Diceros bicornis minor: one gene and its partners. The protein of the gene in region 3 purifies or fractionates together with the protein of the main gene of each other region. This does not show direct contact. Links are inferred from orthologs where the notes say so. Each region holds a gene or a part of one and is shown on either strand. Other genes may lie near its edges. The genes, in order: NEK2, ANAPC7, ANAPC2 and CDC26.

Region 1 (7,626 bases), on a different chromosome or scaffold from region 3:
GTGCTTTGGGGGAAAAAAATAAATAAATAAGTAAATAAAAATTTATAATAAAAATAAAAATAAAGTACAACAGGTGAGTCCGAGACCACTTCCTGACAATCAATGCCTTAGGGAAGGCTGAACTGATCTAATTACAAGGGCAGGAGGGAAAAGGAACAAAAGAATTGCACAGGTTTCAAATTTTCCAAGAACTACTTCTGGATAATTTTCCTTTATGTTAAAGGCTTTCTATTTGCAACTTGATCTGGCAAGAAAATGACACTCTTCTGGCCATGTCTAATCTTAGTCAAAAACAAAATCATTAATTTACAAAGCTTTATACTATAGTCAGATCAGTTAATATAACCAAAAAAGATTTAGAATATCCTAGAAATGTTTGTGAACTCTTAAAAAAATTAATAAATATCTCTCCATCTTTATCTGCTCAGATTTCATCTACAGCACACTGGTGCTATCACTTATTGATTCAAGCTTTTTAAAAGCCATCAAGCGATATCTAGAGAGTCATAAACAGTTCATACCCTTTGACCCAGCAATTTCATTTTGAGACCTATACCCCAAGGAAATAACCAAAAAGGAAGAAAGGATAATTTATACAAAGATATGCATAGCAGTGCTCCTTAGAATGGTGAGAAATTTTGGAAACAAAATATCTAGCAATAGAGGAAACAAATAAGTAAAGTGGGTGGTCTCTGCACCTCCACTGTAGGAAAAGTCAAGAAAAAAAGAACAAGTACAGAAAGTTAACACCGTAAAAACATGTTATCTGAAGTGAGTGAGCCTCTTGAGCCCTGAATCTCCATGCACAAGAATCATCTACAGTCTGTTAAAATATGGAGTCCAAAATAAAAGGGGGGGAGGGCAGAATGCAAGGACCTGTCCAGAGACCCAAATTCACTGGATTTGGGGCCCAGGACTCTGCATTTTAAACAAATATTCCAAACAAGTAAAAGCTGGTGTCCAGGACTTATGGCACTTTGAGAAACACTGCTGTTGAGAGCAAAGACAAAACCTAGGTCATCATTGTAACCCCAGAGGTGAGCACCTGGTAGTCACTCAATAAAAGCTTACCTGAATTGCTGATACAGAGGAGTTTAATGGTCTGGTGGTCCATTTGGAAAATACAAATTTAAAAGGAAATAGTATTATTAATTCTTGGCTATTGGATATTACTAAACAAACACAAAGCTCAATTTCTCTGCATTTGAATGCTTGCATGAAGATGTTAAAAAAGTATCTAAATTCTGAGATACTTACAGGAGACATGTAATAAGGTGTGCCAACAAATGTTTTTGCAAAACTCGTATCATGGTTTAATATTCTAGCTAGCCCAAAGTCTCCAAGCTTAACGTTTTGCTTGCCATCCAGGAAAACATTGGCTGGTTTCAGGTCCCGATGCAGCACAGTATGACCACCATCGCTTCGTCTGTGACATTCTTTTAGGGCCAGAGTCAGCTGAGTCATCACTCGAAGAACAAACTCTTCATCTAAGTATTGTCTGAAATCAAAGCAGTTATATAGCATATAACTTCTGAATAAAACCATTACAAAGATGGGATGATATGAATTATCTAGTTTTCAAAGTGTAGAAGTAGGGAAATAAATTATTTTGATATGAAATATGGGTGTTGATTCACCAAGGATTTTCTAAAGTACTGTGGACTCATCAAACAAATACAAGCACACTCTTCCACATTACTAAGTACTTCATTCCTGACCCTAAAACAGGATGCTTAAAGAAATGAAACTAGGCCCATTTTCAGGTTATATTTAAAAGATTAATTTACCTTTCCTTGGTTCCCTTCATAATTACACTAGCCAGGTCTCCTCCTTCGCAATATTCCATTACAATGTACAGTGTTGTGTTGGTTCGGTCAATAATTCGATCGTAGTAACGGACAATGTTTGGATGTTTCAGTTCACGAAGCAAATTCACTTCAGAAACAAGCATTTGTTTCTCAGCTTCTGTCATAGAGCCATAGTCAAGTTCTTTCCAAACTAATATCTGAAATAAGAATTTCCAAGGTATAAATGAACGTTCCAAAATTTAAAATTTTTAAAAATTACTTGCCTATTAAATAGATCATACAGTCATTATCATCTAATTTCATTCAATGAACTTAAGGACCCCTGAGTTTATTTTCATAATCTTCCTCTAATTTTTAAGCAGTAAATGGTGCAATAGGAGAGAGAGGGATGAGAGACATTAGGCCTCCCTCAACCCCCTACCCTCACTTGTTTTGTGGGAGGTTGGCAAAAAGTACTTTGGTCAAGGCTGGAGCGGAGGTAGTCCAAGTTCCTGATCATCCCAACCAGTCAAGTTTTTCCAGGGTGAGAGACCTTACTAAAGATCCCTCCAGCAGCAGCTAGGCAGTTTCCTCTCATCGTTTCTTGTATTGTTTCTCATTGTATAAGGTCTACCTACACACACTGGGAAATATGAATCAATAACCAGAATAATGGGTATTTTAAATGAGTCTGACTGCAAGACATAAAGCTCCAGGTTCTGGGGGCCCCGCCCCTTTCTCTCGTCTGAGAGGGCTACTCTTCTCTAAAAATAGCTCAGAAGTCAGCTACCTGTCACCAATGGAAGGCCCTCAGCAGGTCAAAGCAGGAAAAAGGAAGGAAATGGAAGAGAAAGGAAAAAAGACGGTAAAAATATGCTATATCAAAAAATACAGTCTCCCGTTCCTTGAGCGACCCAGGACAGACGCAGGCCTGGGGAAGATGGCTGACTCTTGCAGGCACCCTGCTTTCGAGATCCACAAGCCCAGGCCTCTCGCTTCCCTTCGGCGGCGGCGGGCGCAGCAGGGGCGGAGACAGGGCAGGGGCCCGCGCTCACCTTGCCGTCGCTCTTCCTCCGGATCTTCTGGCAGCGGCCGTAGGACCCCGTGCCGATGGTGTACAGCACCTCATAGTCCTCCGCCCGAGTCGGCATGGCCGGGCCGGCCGCACGACTCCTGCAGGTCGCGATGCAGGCACCTAGCTGCAGCCACCGACTCCGGGACCCCTCCGAACCCCACTGCCCCGCAGCTCCAGTGTCCACCCCCGTTTAACCGTCGCGGGCCCTGGACTCGCAGTCTATTGGCCCGCGGTCAGGTCGCTTCTCCTCTCTGATTGGCTAAGGAGAACACAACACCATGGGCATCTTGGGAAAAGCCTATCGCTAGGCAACCGCGTCGGTGTCGGCGTCTGCTTTCAACCTCTAGGGAGAAAGGGGCGGAGCCAAATCAAAGGCAGGGAGGGAGGTAGAAAGCGGCAGCAGGTGGGTGCCCGCGGCTCTATTCCTCTGGCTGAGGTGTAACCAAAGTCCAGAGATCTTTCCTCAGACTTCTTTGCACACTGCCTCAACCAACTACCTTCTGACCGTTGCACTCTGACCCCTCACACTACCCACTGTTCTCTCGCAGCTTCCTGTACCCTGAGCCTGGGCGGGGTCACGCGGAAGACTTGGTGAGAGTGAAGTACAGAGATCAAAAGTGCAGTCCCTCTCTAAAGGATGCGCGGATGAGTGCTGGCTCTGGTGCGGGGGTGTGCCAAGCACTTTGCGTGTCTTGTCTCGTTTATTTCTCAACACAAACCTATAACGGAGGAAGTAGTGTTATCATTTCCCATGAGGAAATGGAAGCACAGAAAGGTTAAATTATTTGCTTTAGGTCCAACGTCCGGGAAGAGAAGAATCAATGTGAAAACAGTGGTTACTCATGGTAATGATTTAAAGTTCACACACGACGTCAGAGTGCAGTCACCATAGACTATTTTTTTACTGAGATATAATCGACATACAATCTTATATTAGTTTCAAGTGTACAACGTAGTGATTTGACATTTTCACATAGGGACTATATTTTTGAACACCAAATTTAGAGGCCTGTTCAAATGCAGAGGATGTGTACAAAACCTCAGGGTAGAATATGGAAGTCCCTGATGTTTTGGAATACCCAGAGAATATGATGGCTCTAAGGCAGAGACAGTCAGGGACCTTTAAGACTCCTACAAAAAAAAATTTTATTAGAAAAGACTACCAAATAGGGTAGTTGGGATGCTGGATGCTGGACACATATTTAACTGACAATACTTCATTGAACGCAGCCTCTTCTGGGCACCCACAGAAACCAACATTTTCAGCTCACCCAGCCAAATGGAACATTCTCATTTTTAGCTGGGAGAGGGGACCTGGAGGCCCCTGGGTGGGGCTGGATGGTGGAATATGTGTATTACCTGAAGGCTAATAACTTGGCAATGCATAAGTAGGTCAATTTTCTTTAAATATCTGTTCAGCATGGGACTGAAAGGAACTTGATTTTCTATTAATAAGAATTACAGTGGCCGGCCCTGCGGCTTATGGGTTGAGTGCGTGCGCTCCGCTACTGGCGGCCCGGGGTTCGCATCCTGGGCGCGCACCAATGCACCGCTTCTCTGGCCATGCTGAGGCCGCATCCCACATTCAGCAACTAGAAGGATGTGCAGCTATGACATACAACTATCTAACTGGGGCTTTGGGGAAAGAAAAAAAGGAGGAGGATTGGCAATAGATGTTAGCTCAGAGCTGGTCTTCCTCAGCAAAAAGAGGAGGATTAGCATGGATGTTAGCTCAGGGCTGATCTTCCTCACAAAAAAAAAAAAAAAAGAATTACAAACCTCTTTATGTTAAAAATAAGGAATTTATTACATGCACTGAATATAACAATTGAAATCGCCAGCCAGGAGAATTTTTAAAGGAACATTCAAGGGCACTGTCTTACCTCAAGGGAATGTGACCAATTTAGGTTTCAAAAGCTATGTAAGGAGCTACAAGTGGCTGAGTTAATTGGCATTATATTTTTTATTTTAATACATTTTAAAGATGGACATCCGTGGAGCTCTTTGGCTGGCCAGCCCCAAATCCAGTCCCGCATCTTCTCTCGGGCCATTCTTCTGCTCTTTGCCCCAGTTCCCTGAATTCAGCACACTTTCTCAGATGCCCCCTACCACCACTACCACTACCTCCTTTGCACCTGTTATTCCATTGGCTGCAATGCTGTCTGCCTTACTCCCTCATCCACTCCCCCACCCCGATCACATCTGTCTCGAGGACACAAATTGTCTTTCAAGATTCAATGCCAACTTTCTCTCCTGCACTCTAGGAAGCCTTTCCTAGCACACCAGAACAAGCAATTCCTCCATCTACAGTGTTCACAGACCCCTTCATGCATAAATCAACCTTTAACTTGTTATTTGTTTGATGATTTATTTACGTGGGTCTCATAGGAGCTCAGCTCCAAGCTCCTTGTAGCCAGCATAAGTCCTGTAATAAAGGAGACATGCAGTAAATCTTCGTTACATGAAAATATGAGAAAGAAGCTCATTAATAATCATGCGAGGATTTGGAGTGAGCCCTCTGGTACTCATGTTTCAAATGCCCCCAGCCCCATGGCAGAGACTAAATATTGGGGAAAGGGCCACCCCAGGAGTATGGAGAGCAGCTCCTAGGCACATATATTCATTCAACATATATTTATTGAGCATTTACTATGTAGCAGGTATAATGATAGGCATTGGTATGCTGGGTGTTCATTAAAAAAGAGACAGTGGGGCCATGATGACAATGATAAAGAAAAGAGTGACATAGACATGGCGTGACAAACCCTAATGACTTGCAGAGTTAGTCCATATCATTGGGTAGGAGTGAGGGGCGAGACAGCCCAGCAGAGACCACTAGACACCAGAGTATAAAGAGACATTGGTGGCTGAGGAGCATGTGGAAATCAATCAGGAACACTTTACAGAAAACAACCCTTCCGCTGTCACTTCCTCCCTCCTTCCTTCATAGTCTGCCTGTTCGTTAAGACTCAGCTCATGCCCAGTTTCTTCCCTGAAATTTTGCCTGACTGCCTTCAACCCACTGTGATCGCCTAAAAGAACAATTAACTGTGTTCTTTACTCATTTAGAATGTGCCATATACTAGTCTATATTACTAGCTTCTCATGTATATCTACCTTATCTGACATATTAAATCAAAAATTCATCCTTCAATAAATATAAATTGAGGCTCTGCCTGGTGCTGAAGATACCCCAGTGAGCAGGACTGACGCGCAGTCCTGGAGGTGGAGGAGGTAGATGGACACAAGCACGCAGAGAAATTCAGCCGTTACAAATTGCGGTGAGAATTCAGAAAACAAACAAAGAACTGAGACAGAAACTGAAGATTACATTTAAACAGAGAAGTAAGAGATGAGCAGTTCCATGAGGGTGGGGCCAAGGCTTGAGCATCTCTGTAACCACTCTCCCGCGCCCAGGGTCTAATTCACTGTCTGCACAATTTTCTTGTTAAATGTGCTCATGTTGTCAGTTTTCGTTTAAATTTGGTGAAATCCCAAATGAAGAGATTATTGACACTCTGTCTGTGTTTTCTGCTCACAAGTGCTCTACAGATGTTCCCAGACACCAACTAATTTTTAAAAGAAGAAACTTGGAAGACTAATGGGCATCTCCAACTTACCCTGTCCAAAATCAAGCTCCTGATTTTTGCCCCAGACTTATTCTACTGGCTGTCTTCTTCATCTTAAGTGACGAATGCATATGCTTTTGTTTACTGCAGTATGTCCAGCACCTAAAACCTGCCTGGAACATGGTAGGCACTCAATTAACATTTGTACATTGAATGAACGAATGGAGGAAGCCATACCTCATTGCCCTCAGCTTCCTTTTTATGTTACATTAATGACCCACTAGGGGGTTGTACATCACTGCATAACAAACAAGGAGACAGTACATCCACCCGTCCACCCTCAGAGGCCTGTCCTTACAGGAAACTCCGAGATTTGCATATTGAGCATTTCAAATTTCAGACAAGATATTCTGTGTGTCTTATCTCCACAATTACTTGGAGCAATTTGAAGTCAGGGATTATGGAAATTTTTTAAAGTAATCAATAAGGATTTCTAGAAAGAAAAAAAAGGAGACATTCTTTGTTCATAATAATCAGAAGCTAAAACATGTTAAAGAAAGGTGCATGACATAGTATGTCAATAAATAAGCATGTTCTAGAAGAAAGAATGAGGTTTTATGGAGCCTGGCCCTAATAGCGACACACCACTTGATATAAACAGAAGGACAAGATGCAAACAAAGAGACAGCTTTGGATTTAATGGCAGGCAGCTGATGGAAGAATATGATGAGAAGAAATTTATCTTTGAAACAGAATAGTGTTTAGTTCTGAACTTCACCACATTTCAAAGAAGGATAGTGTCAAACTTGCACCCAAGGGTACAAGTTAGGGCAAGGCTGACTTCTGTTCAATACAAGGAAAAACTTTCAGACGGAGAGAGCCATTCACAAATTTTACATAGCTTCTCACGATATTTGTGAGAAGTTATCTCTAAGAATATTGTTATCTCTAAGAATATTGATAATATAAATTGGTTAAGAAGAATGTTAAAACTAGTCACGGATGCTGAGGCCATAACGTGTTCCTAAGGGACTTTAGGAGCTTTTAGAGAACGCTCCCAATTTTCCCTTCAGGGGGCAGCACAGTGAAATTGTAGGAACAGTGGGTGCAAGGTCTAGGAACCCAGGTTCTTCTAATTCTGTTTTGATGAGCTGTGTGACCTAGGGAATCCAGTCCAACTCTCTGGGCCCTAGAA
Region 2 (7,319 bases), on a different chromosome or scaffold from region 3:
TTTATCTCCTTGAGTCTCAGGGGCTTAAGGACAGTGTAAGGAACCAATACGTTTCACAACTTTTTCTTTAACCTTGAATATTGTTCACAAGTGTTATAACTGCCTAGAAGCTGGCCACTATTCTTAATGGAAAATCCATTTTTAATCTCTGACCCACCCCTCCCCCACTTCTTCTCAAATTGAGTAGTTTACACGTTTTTGACAGGTAAAAGCTACAGCCGCTTAAAATGAAAAAACAGTCAGAGTTACAGAACTCTGCAGACAGTTAATTTCTCAACAAATGAAAGATATTCAAGAACAGGTACTATAGTTGCCAGGGCCTGGGGAAAGCAGAATTGGGGAGTGACTACTAACAGATACCAGCTTTCTTTTTGGGGTAATAAAAATGTTTTGGAATAGACAGTGGTAATGGCTGCACAACTCTGAATATACTTAAAACCACAGAAATGTATTTTCTAAAAGGGTGAATTTGACAGTATGTGAATTTTATCTTAAAAAAAAGAAAGGATAGGTAGGCTAAACACGGGATATAAAGTTACAAAGGAAAGTCAAGGACAAAGGTATAGTCCAGAGAGTTAAGATCTCTTCCAACTCTGAGATTCTATGTACTTAGTGAGAAATAAGATTGGATAGAAAATATTACTACACTCAGAGAAAGCATTCAGATATTTATATATTGTAACATACATGCCTACTTATGCATGCATAAGTCATCTCTGGAATGATACATAAGAAACTGTTAATAGGGTCAGCCCGGTGGCTTAGAGGTTAAGTGCGCGCGCTCCGCTGCTGGCAGCCTGGGTTCGGATCCCGGGCGCGCACCGACGCACTGCTTCTCCGGCCATGCTGAGGCCGCATCCCACATACAGCAACCAGAAGGATGTACAGCTATGACAGACAACTATCTACTGGGGCTTTGGGGGAAAAATAAATAAATAAAATCTTTAAAAAAAAAAAAAAGAAACTGTTAATAGTTGTTGCCTTTGGAGAAGTGAAATGGTGGGGTGAGGGTCAAAACTCAGGGACAGACACTTATCTGCATACCCCTTTTGCACTGTTTGAATTTTTTTTACCATGTATATTGCCAATTTAATTTAAAATATTAATGATAAAGGTCAGAATTTAAATGCCTCCTAAAGCTAGGAAACCGCCAGTTTAACCTATTATGAAGAAGCATGGGCTAACTAAGTCTAGTCCGAGGATCAAACTGCTTCTAACTACCCTGTAACATCTTCCGGAACTAAGAGTAATGACTAACTGGTGTATAAATTTCCAATGGTGGAAACTGTGTGCCTTGACAAATCACTCAGAACCAAGTGAAAGACTCCAGAACAAACACAGACGGCTGACAGAGACCAGGGCTCCTCACTGTCAACACTAAATGAATGGTGGCAAAATGACGGGTCTCAAGTAGCAAGGCCCAAAAGCACAGTAATGGAAATGAAATCGGGAGCAGTGGCTGCATCGCAGGCACTTGAGGGGCTTTTCCTTTCTAACCTAGACAGCTTCTAGAGCAAGCCAAATGCAATGGGTCCACCTTGGGTAGGAGATTCAGTTATAATGCCACTGAGAGGCAGTAAACTGCGGTGGGTCAGAATAGAGACTTTCTAAAGTCAGAAGGACCAAAATGCAGACATCGTGGCTCCTCCACTTACTAGATGTGTGTGAAATCAGAAACAGTATTTCACCTCCCTAAGGTTGTATGCACTTCCTTAGCACATTCAAAAAACGTACGAATGCTTATTGCACAGGCACTGTGCTGACTTCATGAGGTGTTACGAGTCACGCAGAATATATGTTTTAAAAGCTCTCATCATAATAAAAAAAAAATTGTAACTGTGTGATGATGGACGTGAACTAGACATTGCGGTAATCATTTCCCAATACACACAAATATCCAAACAATGTTATACATCGATTACATCTCAATTAGAAAAAGAGTGATGCAGAAAATAAAACAGGGCAAAGGGATACATAGTGAGGGGAAGGGACAATTCTGATAGAGAAGAGCTCTCGAGGAAGGATATCTGAGCTGAAACCTGAACGAGGAGGCAGCTCGGAGGGGAGGACTCCAAGCAGAAGAGCCAATGCAAAAGCCCTGAGCTGAGAACGAGCTCGGTGCGTTCCAGCAAGAGAAAGAGGCAGGGAGGCTGGAGTACAGCGAGCAGAGCAGACGAGATGAAGTCGGGGAGAAAGATGCTCGGCCTCTAAGCCATGGGAAGGAACTTTAATTTAAACAGAATGGAGACACTGAAGCACGGCTGCGACAGGCACTCCAGGCTGCACACGGCCCTGTGCTTCCTCCGTCATAAGACTCAATAGACGGCAGCGCGAAAAACAGAAAAGGGGCCCTGCGAGTCCTTAGAAAGGCACCACTCCCACCCAGCCAGGGAGCCCCCCGTTTGCCGAGGAGAAAGTGAACTCTCCTGATACACTCAAGGAGAAAGAGCAATCTCGGGTGGGGGACGAAGGTATAAAACCAGGGGCCGGGAAGGGAAGAGTCGGCCCAGCGATGTGACAGTCGCTATGCCCGGCGACAGGGGCCTCGGGAAACCCTCGCCAGGGTCGCCCTCGGAGCCTCCGCCTTCCGTCTCTCCAAGCCGCCGCTCGCCACATCCCCCGCAGGGAGCGCATCCCAGCGCCCGGCACAACGCGGGGACCCGGCGACCTCAACTTGCGCTCCTGAGCCGGCTCCGCCCGACGAGGCCCTGGCTGACCCCGGAGCTTCAGCTGGGGCCCGCGGCCGCTCCTTCCCGCCACTCCCCGGGCCCCCTCGGCCCCCGCTCCCAAGCCGGCGCCGCTGTCTCCTCAGCCCCAGGCCGCTCCCCGCCTCCACTCACGGGTTATTATTACTCATGGTAAGTAACAAGCTGCTGAGGAGCCGCACGTTGGAGTGCAGCCCCGCGGCCGCCATGTCTCGCACGTGGTCTATCACATTCATCCCGCCCGGCAAGGCCGAGGGCAGCGGCGGCAGCGGCGCGGAGAGCCGGTAGACGCTCCTCAGAGAAGACTCCAAAATGGCGGCCTCGCCGGGGTCCATCGGGCCCACATGCGGCACCGCCCCCAGGAAAATAGGCAACTACTGAAGTGCCTGAATAGAAGAAGAAGAAAAAAAAGAAAAAAAACAAAACTTCTTCCCCCAAGCCCCCTGTGAGGTGGAATGATTTGGTTTTCGGGACTATTGTTTTTGCTTTTGTTTCGTTCTGTTAGCAAAAGTTGCATCATCATTCTAAGCTGCAGACTTTACTGAGGGCTTACAATGGGCTGAGGACAAAAGGCACCTCAGTATGAATATATGCTCAATTGAAATGAGTCTGAGAGGAATCTGTGTCTCCCAGAAGTTAATAAAAATATATGGACAGTTATAAATAAAAGTATAGTAGGGTGCGGGCGGGAAAAATCTCCAACAGCTGGAATTAAATATTTTAATCAGGCGCCAGGGGCAGTCCTAACTGCTTTCAAGTCGCTCTGGCGCACCTGGCTGAAGGTGCCACGCCCCCTCCTCTCAGGTATTGTGTGTACCTGTGGGAGTCAGGCTTCACCTTTGGAGGGACGCCTTGGGTGCAAAAAAGACATGTTTTTACCCTGTGAAATGACTCACTAACTCAGAGTGAATAAAGGCTAGGTTGAGTTTTAGCCATCCTAATATGTGTGTAGTGTTGTTTTAATTTGCAATTCCGTGATGACATATGACGTTGAACGTCTTCTCATAGGCCTATTTGCCATCTGTATCTCTTCTTTGGTGAGGTGTCTGTTTAGATCCTTTGCCCATTTTTCAATCCGGTTGTTGGTGTTCTTACTGTTGGGTTTTAAGTGTTCTTTGCGTATTTTGGATAACAGTCCTTTATCAGATATGTGTTTTACAAATATTTTTTCTGTCTGTAGCTTTTTTTCTCATTCTCTTGACCACTCTCTCTCTTTTACAAAAAACCTACTTTCGGTAATAATCCTGAAATGAAATGACTAATAATAATGGCCAGAAAAGAAACAGCGAAAATATCATTTTCTTAAACTTCATCTAAATAATGATGCCAGTAAAAATTTTAATGAAAAATAAAACAAATATTACAGTACAAAAAGATAACGGATTAGGGCCAGCCCCATGGCTTAGCGGTTAAGTGCACGCGCTCCGCTACTGGCAGCCTGGGTTCGGATCTGGGGGCGCACCGACGCACCGCTTCTCCAGCCATGCTGAGGCCGCGGCCCACATACAGCAACTAGAAGGATGTGCAGCTATGACATACAATAATCTACTGGGGCTTTGGGTGAAAATAAATAAATAAATAAATAAAAATCTTTAAAAAAAAAACTGATCATCTTTGCATATTCATCTTCAATAGGCAGCATAAACAGATTTGTCAATCGTTGGAGCACAGCCATGAAAAGACATGGAGGAAACTTAGCATATTACTAACTGAAATGAAGCCAATCTGAAAAGGCTACATACCGTATGATTTCAACTATTTGACATTCTGGAAAAGATGAAACTGGAGACAGTAAAAAGGTCAGTGGTTGCCAGGAGGTAGAGGGGAGGGAGGAATAGCGGAGCACAGAGGATTTTTAGGGCAGTGGAACTATTCTATATGATACTATAATGGTGGATACATGTCATACATTTGTCAAAACGCATAGAATGTACAACACGGAGAGAACCTAACAGAAACTATGGACTTGGGTGATAATGATGTGTCAGTGTAGGTTCATCAGTTGTAACAAATGTATCACACTGGTGTGGGATGTTGGTAGTGGGGGAGACTGTGCATGTGCGGGGGCAGGGGGTTTATGGGAACTCTTTGCATCTTCTGCTCAATTTTGCTCTGAACCTAAAACTGCTCTAAAAAATAAAGTTTACTAAAAAAAAAAAGAAAGAAAGAAAGAAAAAGGGGAAGGAGGTATAAAAATTGACCTGCTCTGGGTGTCAAACATGCTGTGTATACCGCTGTATCTAACACACTTGGAACAGTGGCTGACACAGAGTAAACACTAACTACATAAATGCTTGCTATCATACTTTTTTCTACATTCAAAATATTTCCTAATGAAAACCACATCTAACAATAGCCAAAAAGTGAAAACAATTCAAATATTCACCAGCTGATGACTATATAAACCAAATGTGGTATATCCATACAGTGTAATTCTATTCAGCAAAAAATAAAAAAAAGAACAAACTTCTGATAACATGGATGAATTTCAAAATTATTATGCTAAAAATAATGCTAGGTGAAAAAAAACAGACGGAAAAAAATCACAATCTCTGACTCCATTTATATGAAACATTCAGGAAAGACAAACTGATAGCAACAAAAAGATTAGTGGTTGCTTGATGGTGAGGGTGGGAAGCGGGAGTGACTGCAAATGAGCAAGAGGGATCTTTTTAGGGTAGATGGAAATGTTCTAAAACTGGATTGTGGTAATTGCTGCACAACTCTAAATTCACTAAGAAATCATTGAATTGTACACTTAAATGGGTGAATTTTAAAGATTTTATTTATTTATGTATTTTCCCCCCAAAGCCCCAGCAGATAGTTGTATGTCATAGCTGCACATCCTTCTAGTTGCTGTATGTGGGACAGGGCCTCAGCATGGCCAGAGAAGCAGCGTGTCGGCGGGTGCCCGGGATCCGAACCCGGGCCGCCAGCAGCGGAGCGCGTGCACTCAACCGCTAAGCCACGGGGCCGGCCCAAAATGGGTGAATTTTATATACCTCAATAAAACCATTAAAAAAATAAACACATCTTTAAGCCACGTGACTCATGAGTCTCCAATTTACCTTCTCCAAGCTACACTGTAATTGCAAAATATAGTTAGGTTTATATCTGGATTGACATCTTACTGTAAAGTCACATATCCACTGATCCTGGAATAAACCAACATTCATAGATTCAAGAAACATTTTTAGGGGCCGGCCCCGTGGCTTAGCGGTTAAGTGCGTGCACTCCACTACTGGCGGCCTGGGTTTGGATCCCGCGCAGTCACCAACCCACCGCTTCTCCGGCCATGCTGAGGCGGCATGCCACATACAGCAACTAGAAGAATGTGCAACTATGACATACAACTATCTAGTGGTGCTTTGGGGAGAAAAAGGGGAAAAAAAGGAGGAGGATTGGCAATAGATCTTAGCTCAGGGCTGGTCTTCCTCAGCAAAAAAAAAAAAAAGAAAGAAACATTTTTAGTTGAAATTGCCATACCTTCTCCTAAAAAGTGATTCATCTCTCCTTTAATGCCTCGATTCTCTGAATGGGAATTATAGTTTGGACAATTCGTTTGATAACTAATGACTTCATTGCCCTATATGCCTCTCCTTCACCATACTTAAATCTGTGATTGTTAATTAACTTTTCTCATCTCTGTACACCTTGTCTCACGAGGGGGCAGAGTGAGTGGGACGCTTCTTTGCATTCCTGACAGGTCTACACCCACCTGGATGACTGGAAACTAACGAGACAGAGGGCCTATCTGTCTTGCACACCATTCTGTGGTCTGTGCCTGGCACATAGTAGGTGTTAACAAATATTCAATAATGGATGAAGAAGAAGCATGAGTCAATGACCTCATCACATAGCTCATTTAATTAAAAGAGTTAAGATATTGATGGTATAAAAAATGCTTTATAAATCATGAAACACTAGACGAACATAATAAATCATTATAATGAGACATTCATTGTTAATTGGTTTCTCCTCTCCTTTCAGCTGCTTCACTGTACATTCATTCAACATATGTTTATTATGCACCTACTGTGTGCCAGAAATTATTCTAGACCATGGGGATATAGCAGGGAACAAAACAAACAAAAATCCATGTTCTTTTAGAGCTGACATTCCAATGAGGGGAGATAAACAACAAATAAGTAATACAAATAGTATAGAAGGTGATAAAATATACTGAAGTATTTATGGAAGAAACAATGTCTAGGATTTACTTTAAAATATTCCTTGAAGTGGGAGCAGATGAAACAAAGTTAGCAAAATGTTGATATCAACTGAAGCTAACTGGCAGGTCCCTGGGAGTTCATTATGCTGTTCTTTCAACTTTTGTGCATTAAATTTTCCATATGTGTTTTTTTTTAAGATGCTTAAAAGGTAAAGAAGAGGGAGTGTTGGGGTGGGGGCTGCCATTTTAAATCATGATCAAGGAAGGCTGCACTGAAAAGGTGACAAATGAGTAAAGACCTGAAGGAGGGCAAGAGGGAGCCATGGAGAAATCTAGAGGGAGAGGGTCCCAAGCAAAGGAAACAGCAAGCTTGGAGGCCTAAAGCAGGAGTGGGCCTGGCATGTTAGAGGAAGAGTGAGGAGGTCAGTGGGGCTGGAACAGAG
Region 3 (7,656 bases):
CAGGTCCTCCATCAATGCACCCCCATGCCCCTCCATGTGCCTCAGTGCCCATGCTTATCTCTGGCAACAGTGGCCCTAACGTAGGGCACATAGCAGCTTGTGCTCGCCTCCGCCTGAGTGGACAGACTTGCCCTGAGGCCACATACACGACTGGCCCCCGCCACGTGTAAACAACGTACCATATAGTGAGAACGTTTCTGAGCGCACACACATAAACTTACAGGACATACTGCCACACGAACCCGAAGACACACACGTTCCCCTCATAGACCACCCAACCACTGATGAGACCACCCCAACACTCTGCCACCTGGAGGCAGCACAGCTGCCCCTACCAGGCCTCCAGGCTGCCACCCACTTCAGACCACTCCTGCGGGGAGAGACACTTGCTTTGAATCCCCCATTGTGGTTAATCTGCACCCTCAGAAGGTGGACACTAGGAAACCGAGGAGAACAGGTAGCAAGTGGAAGCAGGCTAGACGGCCGCTGAGGCTGGAGCCAGCTGCTCCATGACTCTGGGGAGCCCAGAGCAGAGCCCCAGACCACACCCAACAGCGTGGGCACTCTGAGGCCCCTCAATGGGACATCTCAGACCTTGGCACTGCCTCTAACCAGGTGATTCTGCACAGACCTCGCCGAGCATGTCACAGGCTTTCCTTGCTGTCTCTAGGGCAGGCCCAGAAGGACTGGCCTCCACACTCTGGCTGCTTCCAAAGCCGGAGTCTCAGGTTTGCCAGAAGCCTATCCCCCATCCCCAGGGATCAGGCTCGAGGAGGGACGTCCTCACCTTGTGGAACTCACGCAGGAAGGAGCGCTCGTACTCGCCCCGGCAGCGGTCCTCCATCCGCTCCCGAGTCACTTGGTGCAGGGTGGTGGTCACGGCCTCAGCACTGACCCGCTCCAGCAGACTGAGCCTATGTCTAGAGAAGAGCCCTGCCCGTGGAACACGCAGAGCACACACACCCCCACCCCCCACACTGGGCACACACCTCTCCAGGGCCCTCCTGGTGGGGGCACAACTGTACCAAGGGTTCTTCCTCAAAGCCGCTGGGATGATGGAGCATGGACAAGCCACTGCCCGCCCTCCCCAGCTGGCATCTCTGCCCAGGCCAGGGCACTGGCCTTCCCCAGGTGAGCAGCGTGTGTGGCTATCAGGGACCAAGGCCTCATCTAGAAACGGCTGTGAAACAACACCCAAATACATCCCTACTCTGGCCACATAAATACAGATACTGCTGTCTTTAAGTGCCTTTCAGCGCATACTCTCGTCTACGATGGCAAACAGATGCAAGAAAAAATGAAAAAGAACTTTTCTGCGTCACTTTCACCTGGGATGAACCCAGCAGAAGCCCTTCAGGGCCTCCCTGACCCCTGCCAGCAACAGTACCACTCCCTGGGTCCAGCTAAAAGTCTCTCCCCAACAGCTGTACTGCTGCCACGCCACTTGAAGTGACAAAATCATCATAAATGGCCACAGAGAGCGTAGGACCCATACAACACAACCTGGTTCTAACGACAATGACAACGACAACAACCTTTCCACTTCAAAGGGCTACAAAGGCAATCGCTTGCCCAGCATGTCAGCCTAATGTCCAACTCTCTCTGGAGAAGAAAAATAACAAGCCCACTTTTTGCAATTACAGGGTAGAACGAACATCATTCCTCCCCTGGAGAGCCTACAGAAAGCACAGCAGAATTCTGCGTGGCCCAGGAAACTTGGAACCACATGAGGTCTCAGCATAAGCAAAGCGTGGAACCCTAGGTTTACCTGAGTGACAGAGAGACACACTTGCGTCCAGAACAAAAGGTATAAACTCACAGCACAGGGATTCTGGGGACCCTCCCCTTGTCATGCCCGTGGCTATCAGGACAGGTGGCAGAGCCCCCAGCCAGCTCACCAGCTCTCTGCAGAGGCCAGCTGGACCCAGGGGAACAAGTGGGACTAAGGAGGAACAGGGCAAGGCCACACAGGCGGGAGTACTCACAGGACCTGGCTGAGCTGGTGGAACTGCTCCAGTGCCTGGCGGCACCAGCACTGCTGCTTGTCGCTGCCACATCCCGCACATAGCGGGCTCTGCAGAAGCCGGTAGTACCGGCGGCGGGCATACCTGCTGTCCAATTCCCCCTCCAGTTCTGGATCTGTGCCCCCTTCCCCTTTCCTCTTACTCTGCATATAGACTCTCAAGAAGCGCCCATACAGGCGCTGGATCATTTCCTGAAAGATTCTGGGAGTGGAAAAGAACAGGACGCCCCGCAACGTGGTGTGGACCTTTTCCCGCAGCCCCTGAGCACCGGTGCCCATCAGCAAGCCCAGGCGAGTCCATTTCTCCAGGAGCTCCAGGCTATGCAGGTAGGGATCCAGGCGGCTCTCCAGCAGGCCAAAAGCGTCAAGGAGCAGCAGAAGGCACTGGGGCTCGTCAGCACAGTTCTCGCGCTGGGAGATGGCATTCCAGAATTCCAGCGAGATGTTGGCCTGCAGGTCGTTCTGCAGCACCTCTACGAACCACTCCTCCAGGACTGAGTGCAGACCGTGGCCCCTCAGCACCTCCACCGCCGCCCGGAGCTCCTCCTCCTTCGGCGGGACCGCACCGCTGGTCCGGGAGGACGCCTGGAGCGCAGACAACCGTGAGGAGAAGGGAACACAGCGAAGAGGTGGGGAAGGCGGTGACGGCTGGGGAGAGGCGGGGAAGGGCCAGATGGAGGGGAGGCTGCGGAAACCCCGCTGCCCCTAGTCCGCGGCGCGCGGATGCCGGGCCGATGCCAGGGAAGGGCTGCGGGAAGCCAAATGAGGAGGGACCGTGGAAGAAGAGGCAGGACAGGGGCCGGCGAGGACGGCGCTGCAGCAACCCGAGGGCGGGCGCCCCAACAAAGCCTCCTCCCGGGCCTCACCAGCCCCAGCGCTGCCGGCGGCACCAGCCCGGTGCTCACGGTATTCCAGGCCACCAGCAGCTCCTGTGAAGGCGCGGGGTCGCCGTGCCCCGGCGCCGCCGCCGCCGCCGCCATCTGCGTCCACCCGCTCCCACAGCCGCCCGGCGCGACGCCCGGCGGTGAGGGAGGGCTGGGCGCGCAGGGAGATGACGCACACGAGGCGCGCGGCAGTGACGTACGGTGGGCGCGCCGTCGGGAGGCAGTGCGCAGGCGCGGGCAGGATGCGGTAGCGGCGGTTGGCGCGGCCGAGCCTGGGCGGCGACCATGACCGAGGAGGGCGCGGAGCCCTTGACCGAGGAGGGCGCGGCGACCATGACCGAGGAGGGCGCGGCGACCATGACCGAGCAGGGCGCGGCGATGCAGGACTACAACAACCAGCTGATCAAGGGTGAGCGGCCGCGCGGCGGGCCCGCTGAGCCCCGGGAGGGCGCGGGGCTCGCCCCTGCCGGCCCAGGCGCGATGGCCCGCAGCGCGTGGCCAGTGCGTGGGTGTCCGGCCGGACCGCGCGGAGGCCATGCGGATCTTCCCAGCGCGCGGCCACAGTGTGGCATCGCCGAGGACCGGATATCTATGGAGCGAGCAGGAGGATGAGGGGCTTGAGCATGCGCTGGCCCCTGCCCTACCCCCCGCCCCCGTCCCCGGCTGTCTCGTGCGGTGCCTTCTTTAACCCTTAGACCCCGGAGGTGGACACTGGCCGGGCTCAGGCGGAAGGTGGCACCCCCGCCCGCCACCACTCGTCTCTGCTACAAAGCTGTGGGCTGCAGACTGGGAGGGGTGATGCTCTCCTTCCTGCCCTGGGTCCACAGCGCCTGCCCCTCCCCGCCCACCCTAGGCATGGAGGTCCTGTGCCAGAGGCGGAACAAGTTGTGCCGGCAGATCCAGAAGGAGGAGAAGGAGAAGCAGCGGCTGCATAATCAGTTGAGGCGGTTGACAGAGAAGCTGGCCCTAGTCAACGAGAATCTGGCATGCAAGATCGCCTCTTACAAAGAGCTTGACCGGACCATCACAGAGTCTGAGGCTGCCTTCTTCAAGGTAGGGCTCGCGGAGTCCCCAGGCGGTTTTTGGCCTAGGGACACCCACAAGCAGAGGTGATAGGACTCCGGTGTGGCCGGGCCCACTGTGGAGTGACAGCCCGGCCGTCGGTGGGGCCTGGTGCGTCCTGAGTTCTGTTCTTTGCACCCTAAGTGGTACCATGAGCAGCACAGGGGAAGCAGCAGAGTAGCAGCAGGGGCTAGGGCTCACCTGGTGTGGCTTTCCCAGGGTGCGAGGAAGGGGCTTTGGGCTAGACTCGGAGGGAAAAGTGCCCTACTGACCCTGTCCGCCCGTCCCCTCAGGGGCTTCCTTTTGGCAGCTCCTGTCCCGTAGCCCCCACAGCCTGGCCCTGGCACCATGTGTGAGGGGGGCTGGGCTGCAGGAGTTTTCTGACAGAAGGAACCGTCTCATGCCTGTTTCTGTTCCCAGATCCTGGAGAGCTCACAGGCTCTGCTTAGTGTTGTGAAGAGGGAAGCCGGGAACCTGAGCAAAGTCATGGCCTCAGAGCAGGAGATCATTGAAGAGAAGGACAGTTCATGAAGCCACAGGTGGAGAGGGGCCTGTCTCCACTGCAGCCATTAATGGTTTGGCCCCTAGCAAGTCTGTCTTCACAGTGTCTGTTTTTCATGACAGGAGGTAACTTCTTTCACTGTCTCAGGTGCCAAGGGAGGCAGCTGCCAGCCTCCATTGGCCCTGAGTGACAAGAAAAGCCCTGGGCGCAGCCCACCAGGTGGGAGTCCTGGCCCTGTGCTCACTCAGGCTACAGGGAGGGCGAGCTCGGGGCCAGCTCCACTTGGGGCCTCTCTGAGGTCCCCATACTCCCCTCGGCTGTAGGTAAGGCCCTGGTTAGGGGAGTTCCTTCACCTTGTCCCTTGGCCAGCAGGTGCCCAGGCCTGGTGAGTGGGGGAGGGGCTGGGCCCCTCCTTCACCTTAGAGCTTGTCCTTGTGGTCTGTGACTGTCAATAAAGGTTGTCTTTGTAAAGATCCATGCCAGCCTGCTGCCTGTGTCAGGATTACGGGGCTGCCGGATACTCCCAGAGCCAGAACACGAGCCCCTGCCCAGCTATTGCGTAGCTCCTCTGTGAGGGAGAGGTTAGAGTATAGCCTGGAGTGGCTTTCCCTGTGACCAGCCTTGCTGGCCTTGGGGACAAAGCTGAGAGTGACCCTGAGGATCTCCCATGACCCTCATCGCCCACCCTCTCCGCACCGGGGCCACTGGCCCCCTCCCCGACTCCAGCACACAGCTCATCCCCTACTGAGGGGCTCTGCCTGCTGGTCCTAGTCTCTGCCACACCCTGGTGTCCAGCACAAGGCCTGGCCCAGGGAGACGCCTTTCCTGGGCTCAGGTCCCCCACCAAGGATTGCGCCCTAGCTCCATGATTCTAAACTCTGCTCACCGCGACGGCACCACTGCTTCTTGCCTTCACTGGCCACACACCAAGCGTGCCCACTTTCAGCTTTCCATGTCGCCTGGGGCCCAGCCCTCCAGCCCGAGTCCTCTCTGGGTCTGTCTCTGTTGGCCTGTCAGCCCTGCTGGGGTCCCTGCAGCCCAGGGTGGGCTGAACTGATTTGGGAAGCATGTTGCTGGAAAGTCTGGAGAGACTTGGGCCCACCTCTCCCAAGAAAACACCCCCAAAACACCGTCATCCTTCCCAAGCCGGGCTAGGTGGCAATTATGATGGGCTTGACTCTCTAGGACGGAGAGACTCTCATTCGAAGCATTGATCGTAAACAGCCCCGACTCCAGCTTGCGGCTGCACAGGCAGCCAAGTATGTCTGAGGCAGCAGCCCAGCCAGGAGCTGTTCCCTAGCGGGCAGCTGTGTGTAACACCTCAGATCTGTCGGGTTCTCCTGCCACCTGCTAGCACTGACCCCAGGGGAGCAGCCTGCCTGCCACAGCCTTGCTGCAGGCTCCCATGGGTCAGGGAGCTTTCCAAGCCAAACAGGAGGCAAGATCCCTGAGGCTCTGCCCACTCCCTGCCCTGCCCTTCATCCCCTCCCAGGCTTTTGGCCCTTCAGACCCGACAGCTGCAGCAGTCCCACCCCTGCTGCCTAGAGTGCCTGGGAAGTTTCAGACCCCAAAGAGCAGGCCTGGTGTCCCACCTCCCACCGTAGCTGCCCCTGTGCCAGCCCTGGTGGGGAGGGGGCTGCTCCACAGATGGGGGCAGGCACAGGGAGGTCCTTCTCCCAGGGGAGGGGGTGGCTGGGAGGGGAAGCCAGACAACTGGGCCTGTGGGGAGCAAGAGCCTGAACCACTAGGACTGGGATGCCACCCAGGGCCCCTCCCATACCCAGGCAGACATCCATGCTGGGCCCCATCACACCCTATGTGGCTTCTGGCAGGCTGCCAACACCTCAATGGAGCCCCAGAGACCCCACCCCTGTGCCCCCTTCTCAGGCCGAGGACCATGCAAGGAAGGCAGAGGCAGTTCGTCCAGTGCTATTTATTGAGTCCATCATCAGAGGCGAGAAAAGACTTGCCATTCATCACAAAGGGGGTGGGCTGAGCTCCACCGTGGGGGTGTAGGCTGGGGAGGCTTGGAGTCCTGCAGAGGACAGGCAGCCAGGCCAGCCCTTCGCCTGGGACACACTTGGCAGCTGCTGGGCACAGCGTCCGCCAGGACCCCGTCCCTCCTCAACAGGCAGTGCCCCAAACCAGGGCCAGAGAGCGAGACCCAGACAGCCCCAAGAGAAAAAGGAGCCCCAGGTGCCCCAGCCTCAGGCCCTGAGTACCAGCATGGCTGTGAGGTCCTAGGAAGGGAGGGTGTGACATGGAGGGCAGAGCCTGGCAGGGCAGAAGAGGGGTGCAGAATGAGGGCGGAGCTCCCAGGGCTCTGCCTTGGCCATCCTGGCAGGGCCGGGGTCAGAAATAGAGGGCTGGCTCGCTGCGGAAGTCCGAGAGGTCTTTCTGACTGGCGGGGGTGAGCTAAGAGAGGGGCACAGAGGCAGCCAATGGGGCTCATCCAGGCCTTAGAGACAGCCCCCACCCCAGCCCTGCACCCTGTGCGTCCACCCACCCTGCCCCCACTCACCATGACCTCCTTCGGCACAGGCTCCACCTCGCTGGGAGCCGGCTCCAGCGTCTGCTCCTGCCACTTACTGAAGGCCAAGGAATGCTTTGGAGTATAGCTGGACAAGCCTGCGGGCCGAGGGGCACACGCGTGGACGTGTGGGTGCGTGGACATGTGGCCCAGGCTACCCACTGGGCCACCTATCCCGACAGCTGGACACTTACCTGAGCTGCTGTCTAGCAGCCGAGGGCTCTCGGGCCCCACACTGTTCACGAACGTGGCTCGGGGCAGGAAGAGTGCAAAGGGCTTCTCCACCACCTCCTCTGCGCCAGACGCCTCCGCCGCCTCCTCCGCCTCCGCCTCCTCCGCCTCCGCCTCCTCCTCCTCCTCCTCCTCCTCTTCCTCCTCCTCCCCCTCCTCTGCTTCCGCCTCTGCCTCCTGCACCAGGGAGCTTTCAGAAGGGTACTCGAATGTGGTCTGCAGGCTCTTGTCGTTGAAGGAGATCTTCATCTAGGAGCAAGAGGCACATCAGCAAAGGCCCTGCTGCCCAGCCACCAGGGGTCCTCCAGCCAGACCAAGCTGGTGCACTGACCCTCAGGGGCACGGTGAAGGGTGTCAGACCCGAGCAGGTAGCAGAACACACTATAGGCCCTTCAGAGGCTCTGAGAGGTCAGGGGCTGCCCCT
Region 4 (7,204 bases), about 22 Mb from region 3:
CAGCCACAGGAAACTAATACATTAAGTTTGAGAGGCTGTAAAGCGTCCAAATAGAGATTTCAAATAAGCTGCTGGTACAAGAGTCTGGAGTTCAAAAGTTGGAGTTTTAAATATTCCTAAGGGTTTGAAAGTTGTGCTCTTACCTCCAGGTCCTTTCGAATGCTCTCAAACTCCTCAATGTCATCAAGCTTCAGCTCCAGGCGGGTTGGTTTTCGTCGCAGCATGTTGAAATCAACATCAAAGGCCAGACCCAGTGAACTATTAGCTGTTAAAAAGGCAGAGAGAAGGAAAAACTGGAGGGGATAAATCTCAGCTGCAAATGTAAGATCAGTTTGTACGCATGCTTGCTAAAATGAATGGCAATAAAAAAGATTCATTTGGGGCCGGCCTGGTGGCGTAGCCCTTGAGTGCGAATGCTCTGCTGCGGCAGCCCGGGGTTCGGACCCGGGCCACACCGACGCACCGCTTGTCAAGCCATGCGGTGGCGGCGTCCCATATAAAGTAGAGGAACATGGGCATGGACATTAGCCCAGGGCCAGTCTTCCTCAGCAAAAAGAGGAGGATTGGCAGATGTTAGCTCAGGGCTGATCTTCCTCACAAAAAAAAAAAAAGATTCATTTGGATTCACACATAGACTTCTAAGACTTTTGGTGTATGATTATTACATTTTTATTACATGATTGAGATCCACAACTTTGTAATTCCAAAAAACTCTTTCTTCAAGAACTTAAAACGCCAAACTACCTATAAAAGAGAATTCTAGGTAACAATCACTTTAATCTCATGCTCCTGTCACATTCAGAGAAATATTCTAGCTAAGAGAATAAAGTTAAAAGATCACATCTTAATTCAGTATAGTCAGTGGGAGAGTATATAAGCCATTAAATTTGATCAACACTACATGAGAATTGTGAGAGATTTGTGATCACCCCCAAATGCTAAAATAAATTTACTAAATCTCACGAAAACTCCCTCTAACTCACCAATTCACAGAGTTGTCCTAAGGATCTAATTAGGTCCTAAATGGATATGTCATTCATTAAACAAACAATTCTTGTGCTCCAGCTACAGAGTTAAAAGGCACAGTCACAGTCAGTGGGGAAAACAAACACATAAACAGAAAATTGCAACACAGTGTAATAAAACTCTGGCAAGGGTAACGCAATGGCACCAAACAGGCACCAATCCAGTCTGGGCTGAGTGTGAGATGGACAGGAATGTGGAGGGCTTCCTGGAAGAGATGATGTCTTAGTTGACTGGTTAAGGACAGACAGAGTAAAGAGATTAAGGGCATTCCAGGCAGAGAGAACAAATACGCAAAGAGGCTCAAGAGAACCCTCCAGAGCTTGAAAACCCTAGGTAATGCTTATGCTAACAAAAAACATTTTTTTGAGAAGAAAATAAAACTCCCCAACTGAGTTTAAAATCTGTGGATTGCATCTTCATATTCTCCACAGCATCCAGTAGAGTGTATCTATAATCACCAGTCAGTAAACGTTTTGTTGAATAAACTGAGATCCAATTAAAGTGAAATGAACTTTTCTTCAGCACTGTGCTATGCTTTTCCATTCCCATTCTTTACATTTTTATTTTAACATAGAAACTGTGACACCAACAAAATTACCCCTATTTTACAGATGACGTCGAAGCTGTTCAGTTTGGTTAATAAATGTCAGCCTCCTATAAAAATTATACATACGTTCCACGGTGAGGATTGATGTAAGATGATTGATGTAACTGACTAATGTAATGAGAATGATGTAAGTGAAAGCTCCTTTAAAGTTTTTACAGACATAAATTATTATTACATGTATCCAGGATGTATCAAGGACTGTGAAATATACAAAGGAAGAAATGTTTCCTTCTCCCACGAAGCTTAGGTGATATTATCAGATAAATACAGGTGATATTATCAACCCAAAACACCAGCACATTACATTTCAAATTGCTTTACATTAAATCAGATAATATCTTGATTCCAGTGTAGGCAAGTGGTAGAGGGAGCCAAAGTTCGAGGGGGGCGGTGGGAGCGGTGGATGCGTAAAAGAAAGAAAAAACTGCTTTGCATTTTAACTCTTCGGCAAACTGTGAAAAATTCTATGAAGCAATATAGAGTAATGGGTACAAGTGCTCTCTAGAGGCAAAAGGGCAGAGGGCAGAGGTTCTAATCCCATCCACCACTTATCACAAACAATTAGCTTCATCCTTCACTGGATTTTAGTTTCTGTAACCGTACTCTGTTGTTGTATGGATTCAATGACGTAATGCAAAGTAAGTTCCAGGAACATAACTTGGCATTTAGTAAACGCTCAATAAATAACAGCCATTATTATTGTAATTGTCCTTGGGCGTAGGGGCGGGGAGGGGCTCTGTCAGCTCGGGAAACACCAACATTTTAAGCATCTCCACCCTCGCCATGGGGGCAAAAGCCTCGTCTTGTTCATCTCTGATGCCCCAGCACGCAGCGGAAGGCAGGGCCATGCAGAGTTGCTTGCGTGCAGATTACCTGACGCCTCACATCCATCATCTCACTCTGAATCTGATACAAAGACTGGGCTGAAGACAAACAACAAAATCAGGCCCTGGCTCCTCCGCCGGGTCTTTATTCTACTTTGGAGCTAGAGTGCTCTTCGAGCTGTTTCTCTCGCCACTGCTCGAATTCATCCAGCTCAGAGGGAGCCCCTGGCAGAGGACTTCCCGACAGCGGAGAACGAGCACAGCTCTCCTTCCGCAGCTCCAGGGCAGCACCCGGGGTCCAGGGTGACGGTTTCCATGGCAACAGGGACCTCCGCTCCAGGATGACGTAAAGCCGCGCGTCGGGCCGGGAGGGACCGCAGGCCCCGGAAGCCCTAGATTCGCTCCCGAGTTCAGCCCGGAGCCGCGCGCCTCGACGCACCTACCTCTTTTCAAGGCTGCTCAGCCCCTTCCCAGAACCTCGGCGCCCACTACGACTCTTCTGCCAGGCCAGCTGGACTACACTTCCCAGACTACTCTCAACCTCTCTCCTCGCAGAACCTCGTCCTCCGCGTGCTTTCCTCGGAGGACTACAAGCCACGCCTCTCGACGCGCCCAGAATCTGTCCTACTACGACTCCCGTCATGCTCCACGCCGCCCACGATGCTGCGCCGGCTGTCGGCCCACTTCCGGTAGGTGACGCAGTTCCGCTTTGCTGGGCGCGCGGTGGACGGTCTGAAACGTAGAGGTCGAGTTTCGCTGGGGCTTCGCGGCTCCAGAGCTCGGCATGGCTTCCTCACGAGCCTCCTCCACGGTACAGAGCTCAGCTCACTCTGGCAGGGAGCGCCGAGGGGTGGGGAGTCCAGCGGGATGGGGCCGTTAGGGAACGGGCTAGGCGGTGGAGGTGTGAGGAGGAGCAGCGTGTTCCCGATCCCTCAGCGCTTTCATGCGCTTTAGCTTATTTGCATCACTCGCTACACCCGCGAACGGTAAATATCTCTTCCCACGGGTCCAAAAACGCAGCTCTGAAAGGGAGGACGTAGTGCCTTGGCCGAGATGTATGTCCGTGTCAGACCTCTTAATTGTAATGAGGCCTTCTTTCTTCCTATCTACAGCCTGACGTCTGAAAACGTTTGAAGTGTATAGACCAGCATCTTTGTAACTTGTTTCCCCCTTACATCGCCTTGGCTATTTCAGTTATCCTTGATATTTCCCCTGTGATGAGCAATAACCCTGGAAGTGTCGTAAAACCGCAGAAGACATTGCACTTCCAACAGAATGAAGTAAACGTGTTTAAAAGCAAACCTTTGATAGGAAAATCACCAAGAGAAATGCACGAGTATCCTCAACTTCTTCCTGTCTGCAAAACTTAAGTGATTGAGAAACACCCCCCTCAATCAGTGAAAACGCATCTTAAGGTGTCCAACTTGTCGTTTCCGTTCGGGAAGAAATAGGACTGACGCTCAGGATGAGCCTCATCCTTTGGGGAAGGCCGGTAAATTGCTAAGGTGAAGCCTTAGGTTAATCCAGGTCTTTGATTTAGCAGGCGACCAAAACTAAGGCACCTGATGACTTAGTCGCTCCTGTTGTGAAGAAGCCACACATCTATTATGGAAGTTTGGAAGAGAAGGAGAGGGAGCGTCTGGCCAAAGGAGAGTCTGGGATTTTGGGAAAAGAAGGACTTAAAGCAGGAATTGAAGCAGGAAATATTAACATAACCTCTGGTAAGATGCAAATTGTGAGTCCATGTTTACCTTTGGTGCTCAACTTTTCTGTAATGAATACCTTCCTAAACTTAGATATCACTAGTTTTATAGTGTCATAAAATTGCAGTTTTAAACTTGCATCTGTGTAAGGTTTTACTTTGCCTACCCCGCTTATCATCATCCAGAACGCCTTTTTCTTAAAACCTTTTATACAGTTTTTCTTCCGTGAATTGTTAGTAATTTTGTCAGGAGTTTATTCAGCGTGTATTTGGCTTCAAAGTGATTCCGTTTGTCTTCTGGAGATCTAGCATAGTTCTGGCATTGGTTTGGAGCTACTGTCGTTCATAATATTCTCCGTTTTTTTAGTTTTGCAATTACTTTTCCCTCAAAATGAAATGTTTTTTAAATTATATAAGTAATAGTTATTTTTATTTTGAAAAATATCAAACAATGTAGAATTGTGAAGTATAAAATCCTGTAATGCTTATTAATTGGGTGTATATCTTTCTGAGAATTTAATAAAGCTATGAAAATGTATAATTTTTTTCCATAAATGAAACCATGATATACAAATAGTTTTGTAACTTGTATTTTATACTCTATGTACTATTGAGGATATCTTTCCATGTCAGTAACTGGTGGCCTACTGTATTTTTAAAATAAAATTATACATGTTTGTCATAAATTCAGACAGTACAGAATGGTATAAAATGAAAAGATTTCTTTGCAGAAAGGATCTCTTTCAGGTTTCTCATTGATCCTCCTACACATTTTCTTTTCTATACACATGCACTTTACAGACATTTTTAACCATTTATGCTGTTTTTAAACATAACTGCATCACCGCTGTTCTTCTCATTTTTCATCCAAATGCTTGTATTTGGTGTGAGTTTTAAAACTAGCTGCTAGAGGGGCCGGCCCCGTGACTTAGCGGTTAAGTGCTCGCGCTCCGCTACTGACGGCCCGCATTCAGATCTCGGGTGCGCACCGACGCACTGCTTGTCCAGCCATGCTGAGGCAGCGTCACACATGCAGCAACTAGAAGGATGTGCAAGTATGACATACAACTGTCTACTGGGGCTTTGGGGAGAAAAAGGGAGAAAAAGGAGGGGGAATGGCGATAGGTGTTAGCTCAGGACCAGTCTTCCTCAGCAAAAAAGAGGAGGATTGGCGTGGATGTTAGCTCAGGGCTGATCTTCCTCACAAAAAAAAAAAAAAAAAACCAGCTGCTAGATTATCCAAAAAGCCTTCGAGTCAAGGAATATCATTTTCATGGTAATTCTTTCTAGTTTACTAGTTTCATTTGTAAGTGTCCCGATACTGGGACTGTTTTAGAGAATAGCTTTGGCAATTGTTAAAACCGCATTTCTATTTTATCTTCTGGATAGAAGAGCCATTTAACTCATTTGCTAAAGATGCTCCGTACTCTTTCTCATCTCATGTAAGCTGTGTGTTTATATGGGTGTAAGGTTGCCAAATCAAACAACATGACTTGAACCATTTTCCTGCCTCTTAAAGCTGTATCATTTAATTTTCTGTGTTTGGCATAATTTAATAAACTGAGAAAGAGTAAACTATATCTATAAAGTGCTTAATAGATTAGACAGTTGACTTTCCCTAGTAGCATACACAGACTCTAATTGTGAGAAATTATTTCTTTTCCTCTATTTGAAGAAGATCTGGTGATTATGCTGATGTTTCCTGTTCTTTTTATAGGAGAAGTGTTTGAAATTGAAGAGCACATCAGTGAGCGACAGGCTGAAGTATTAGCCGAGTTTGAGAGAAGGAAGCGAGCCCGGCAAATCAACGTTTCCACAGATGACTCGGAGGTCAAGGCTTGCCTTCGGGCCTTGGGGGAGCCCATCACGCTTTTCGGAGAGGGTCCTGCTGAAAGAAGAGAAAGGTGCCCTTTCTAGATATTTACTCTTTTCTTTTTTTTTTTTTTTTGTGAGGAAGATCAGCCCTGAGCTAACATCCATGCCAATCCTCCTCTTTTTGCTGAGGAAGACCGGCCCTGAGCTAACACCTATTGCCAATCCTCCTCCTTTTTTTCCCTTTTTCTCCCCAAAGCCCCAGTAGATAGTTGCATGTCATAGTTGCACATCTTTCTAGTTGCTGTATGTGGGGCGCTGCCATAGCACGGCCGGACAAGCGGTGCATCGGTGCGTGCCCGGGATCCGAACCCGGGCCGCCAGCAGCAGAGCGCGCACACCTAACCGCTAAGCCACGGGGCCAGCCCCTACTCTTTTCTTTTTTAACCACAGGGTTCTAGTCCCAAATTTCAGTTGGTAATGTAGCTAAAACTTTAATAGAATGTCTCAGACAATGTTAACAGAATAGTTTAGCCCATAATCTGAGCCTTAAGCCAGTTTTTACTCTGCTACTAATTTGTCTTTATAAACTGTGAAGAAGGCGTTAACATGCTCCTTCCCCTCCCCAGTGTGGAATTTTGAGTTGGGTAAATGTTTGTTGAACTTTGAAAATTTAGACAACAAAGGCATTTCTTGTCAATGACGTAAAACATAGTGAGAAGTGTTTTTTGGATATTGTTGAAAAGGGCACTGTCCTCAGATAACGCTCCTCTTGTGATTTTAAAATTGCAGAATCTCTTTTTTTTTAAAGATTTTATTTATTTATTTTTGTTCCCCCCAAAGCCCCAGTAGATAGTTGTATGTCATAGCTGCACATCCTTCTAGTTGCTGTGTGTGGGACGCGGCCTCAGCATGGCCAGAGAAGCGGTGCGTCGGTGCGCGCCCGGGATCCGAACCTGGGCCGCCAGCAGCGGAGCGCGCACACCCAACCGCTAAGCCACGGGGCCGGGACCTCCAATGTGTCTTCTTTTCTCTGCCTCCATTGCTTTCACATTTAGACTGTTGTAATAGCTCCAAATGTGTTGTCTTGATTGCTTACTTAAAATCCTGCAGTGTCATCGTCTTTTATTTGGAGTAAAAAGCTCCTAATCCTGCTCTTCAGCCTCATCTTGTGCTACTCTTCCCCAGTTTACAAGGCTTAGTAGCCACAGTGGTCCTCCTGGAATGCGCAAG

Evidence for each region.
Region 1: the proteins of ANAPC2 (region 3) and NEK2 purify together in Homo sapiens (affinity purification with mass spectrometry; 4 studies listed by BioGRID and IntAct, with this or other methods). This does not show direct contact. The link is inferred for Diceros bicornis minor from reciprocal best matches to the Homo sapiens genes ANAPC2 and NEK2.
Region 2: the proteins of ANAPC2 (region 3) and ANAPC7 fractionate together in Homo sapiens (co-fractionation; 6 studies listed by BioGRID and IntAct, with this or other methods). This does not show direct contact. The link is inferred for Diceros bicornis minor from reciprocal best matches to the Homo sapiens genes ANAPC2 and ANAPC7.
Region 4: the proteins of ANAPC2 (region 3) and CDC26 purify together in Homo sapiens (co-immunoprecipitation; 7 studies listed by BioGRID and IntAct, with this or other methods). This does not show direct contact. The link is inferred for Diceros bicornis minor from reciprocal best matches to the Homo sapiens genes ANAPC2 and CDC26.

Annotation. Positions count from the first base shown.
Region 1 is NC_080743.1:77,451,083-77,458,708, forward strand, and holds the start of NEK2 (serine/threonine-protein kinase Nek2), read right to left. Parts: upstream 3,014-7,626; 5' UTR 2,939-3,013; coding exon 2,843-2,938; intron 2,006-2,842; coding exon 1,788-2,005; intron 1,499-1,787; coding exon 1,258-1,498; intron 1-1,257. UniProt on the Homo sapiens protein: Protein kinase which is involved in the control of centrosome separation and bipolar spindle formation in mitotic cells and chromatin condensation in meiotic cells.
Region 2 is NC_080774.1:8,943,835-8,951,153, forward strand, and holds the start of ANAPC7 (anaphase-promoting complex subunit 7), read right to left. Parts: upstream 3,010-7,319; 5' UTR 2,942-3,009; coding exon 2,841-2,941; intron 1-2,840. UniProt on the Homo sapiens protein: Component of the anaphase promoting complex/cyclosome (APC/C), a cell cycle-regulated E3 ubiquitin ligase that controls progression through mitosis and the G1 phase of the cell cycle.
Region 3 is NC_080767.1:43,716,765-43,724,420, forward strand, and holds the start of ANAPC2 (anaphase-promoting complex subunit 2), read right to left. Parts: upstream 3,004-7,656; coding exon 2,890-3,003; intron 2,609-2,889; coding exon 1,986-2,608; intron 921-1,985; coding exon 788-920; intron 1-787. Other genes in the region: microtubule nucleation factor SSNA1, read left to right, coding at 3,193-3,316, 3,761-3,960, 4,390-4,500; TPRN (taperin), read right to left, coding at 6,824-6,886, 6,993-7,099, 7,196-7,481. UniProt on the Homo sapiens protein: Together with the RING-H2 protein ANAPC11, constitutes the catalytic component of the anaphase promoting complex/cyclosome (APC/C), a cell cycle-regulated E3 ubiquitin ligase that controls progression through mitosis and the G1 phase of the cell cycle.
Region 4 is NC_080767.1:21,525,536-21,532,739, forward strand, and holds the start of CDC26 (anaphase-promoting complex subunit CDC26), read right to left. Parts: upstream 3,007-7,204; 5' UTR 2,901-3,006; intron 266-2,900; 5' UTR 225-265; coding exon 144-224; intron 1-143. Other genes in the region: PRPF4 (U4/U6 small nuclear ribonucleoprotein Prp4), read left to right, coding at 3,099-3,146, 3,998-4,178, 5,877-6,063. UniProt on the Homo sapiens protein: Component of the anaphase promoting complex/cyclosome (APC/C), a cell cycle-regulated E3 ubiquitin ligase that controls progression through mitosis and the G1 phase of the cell cycle.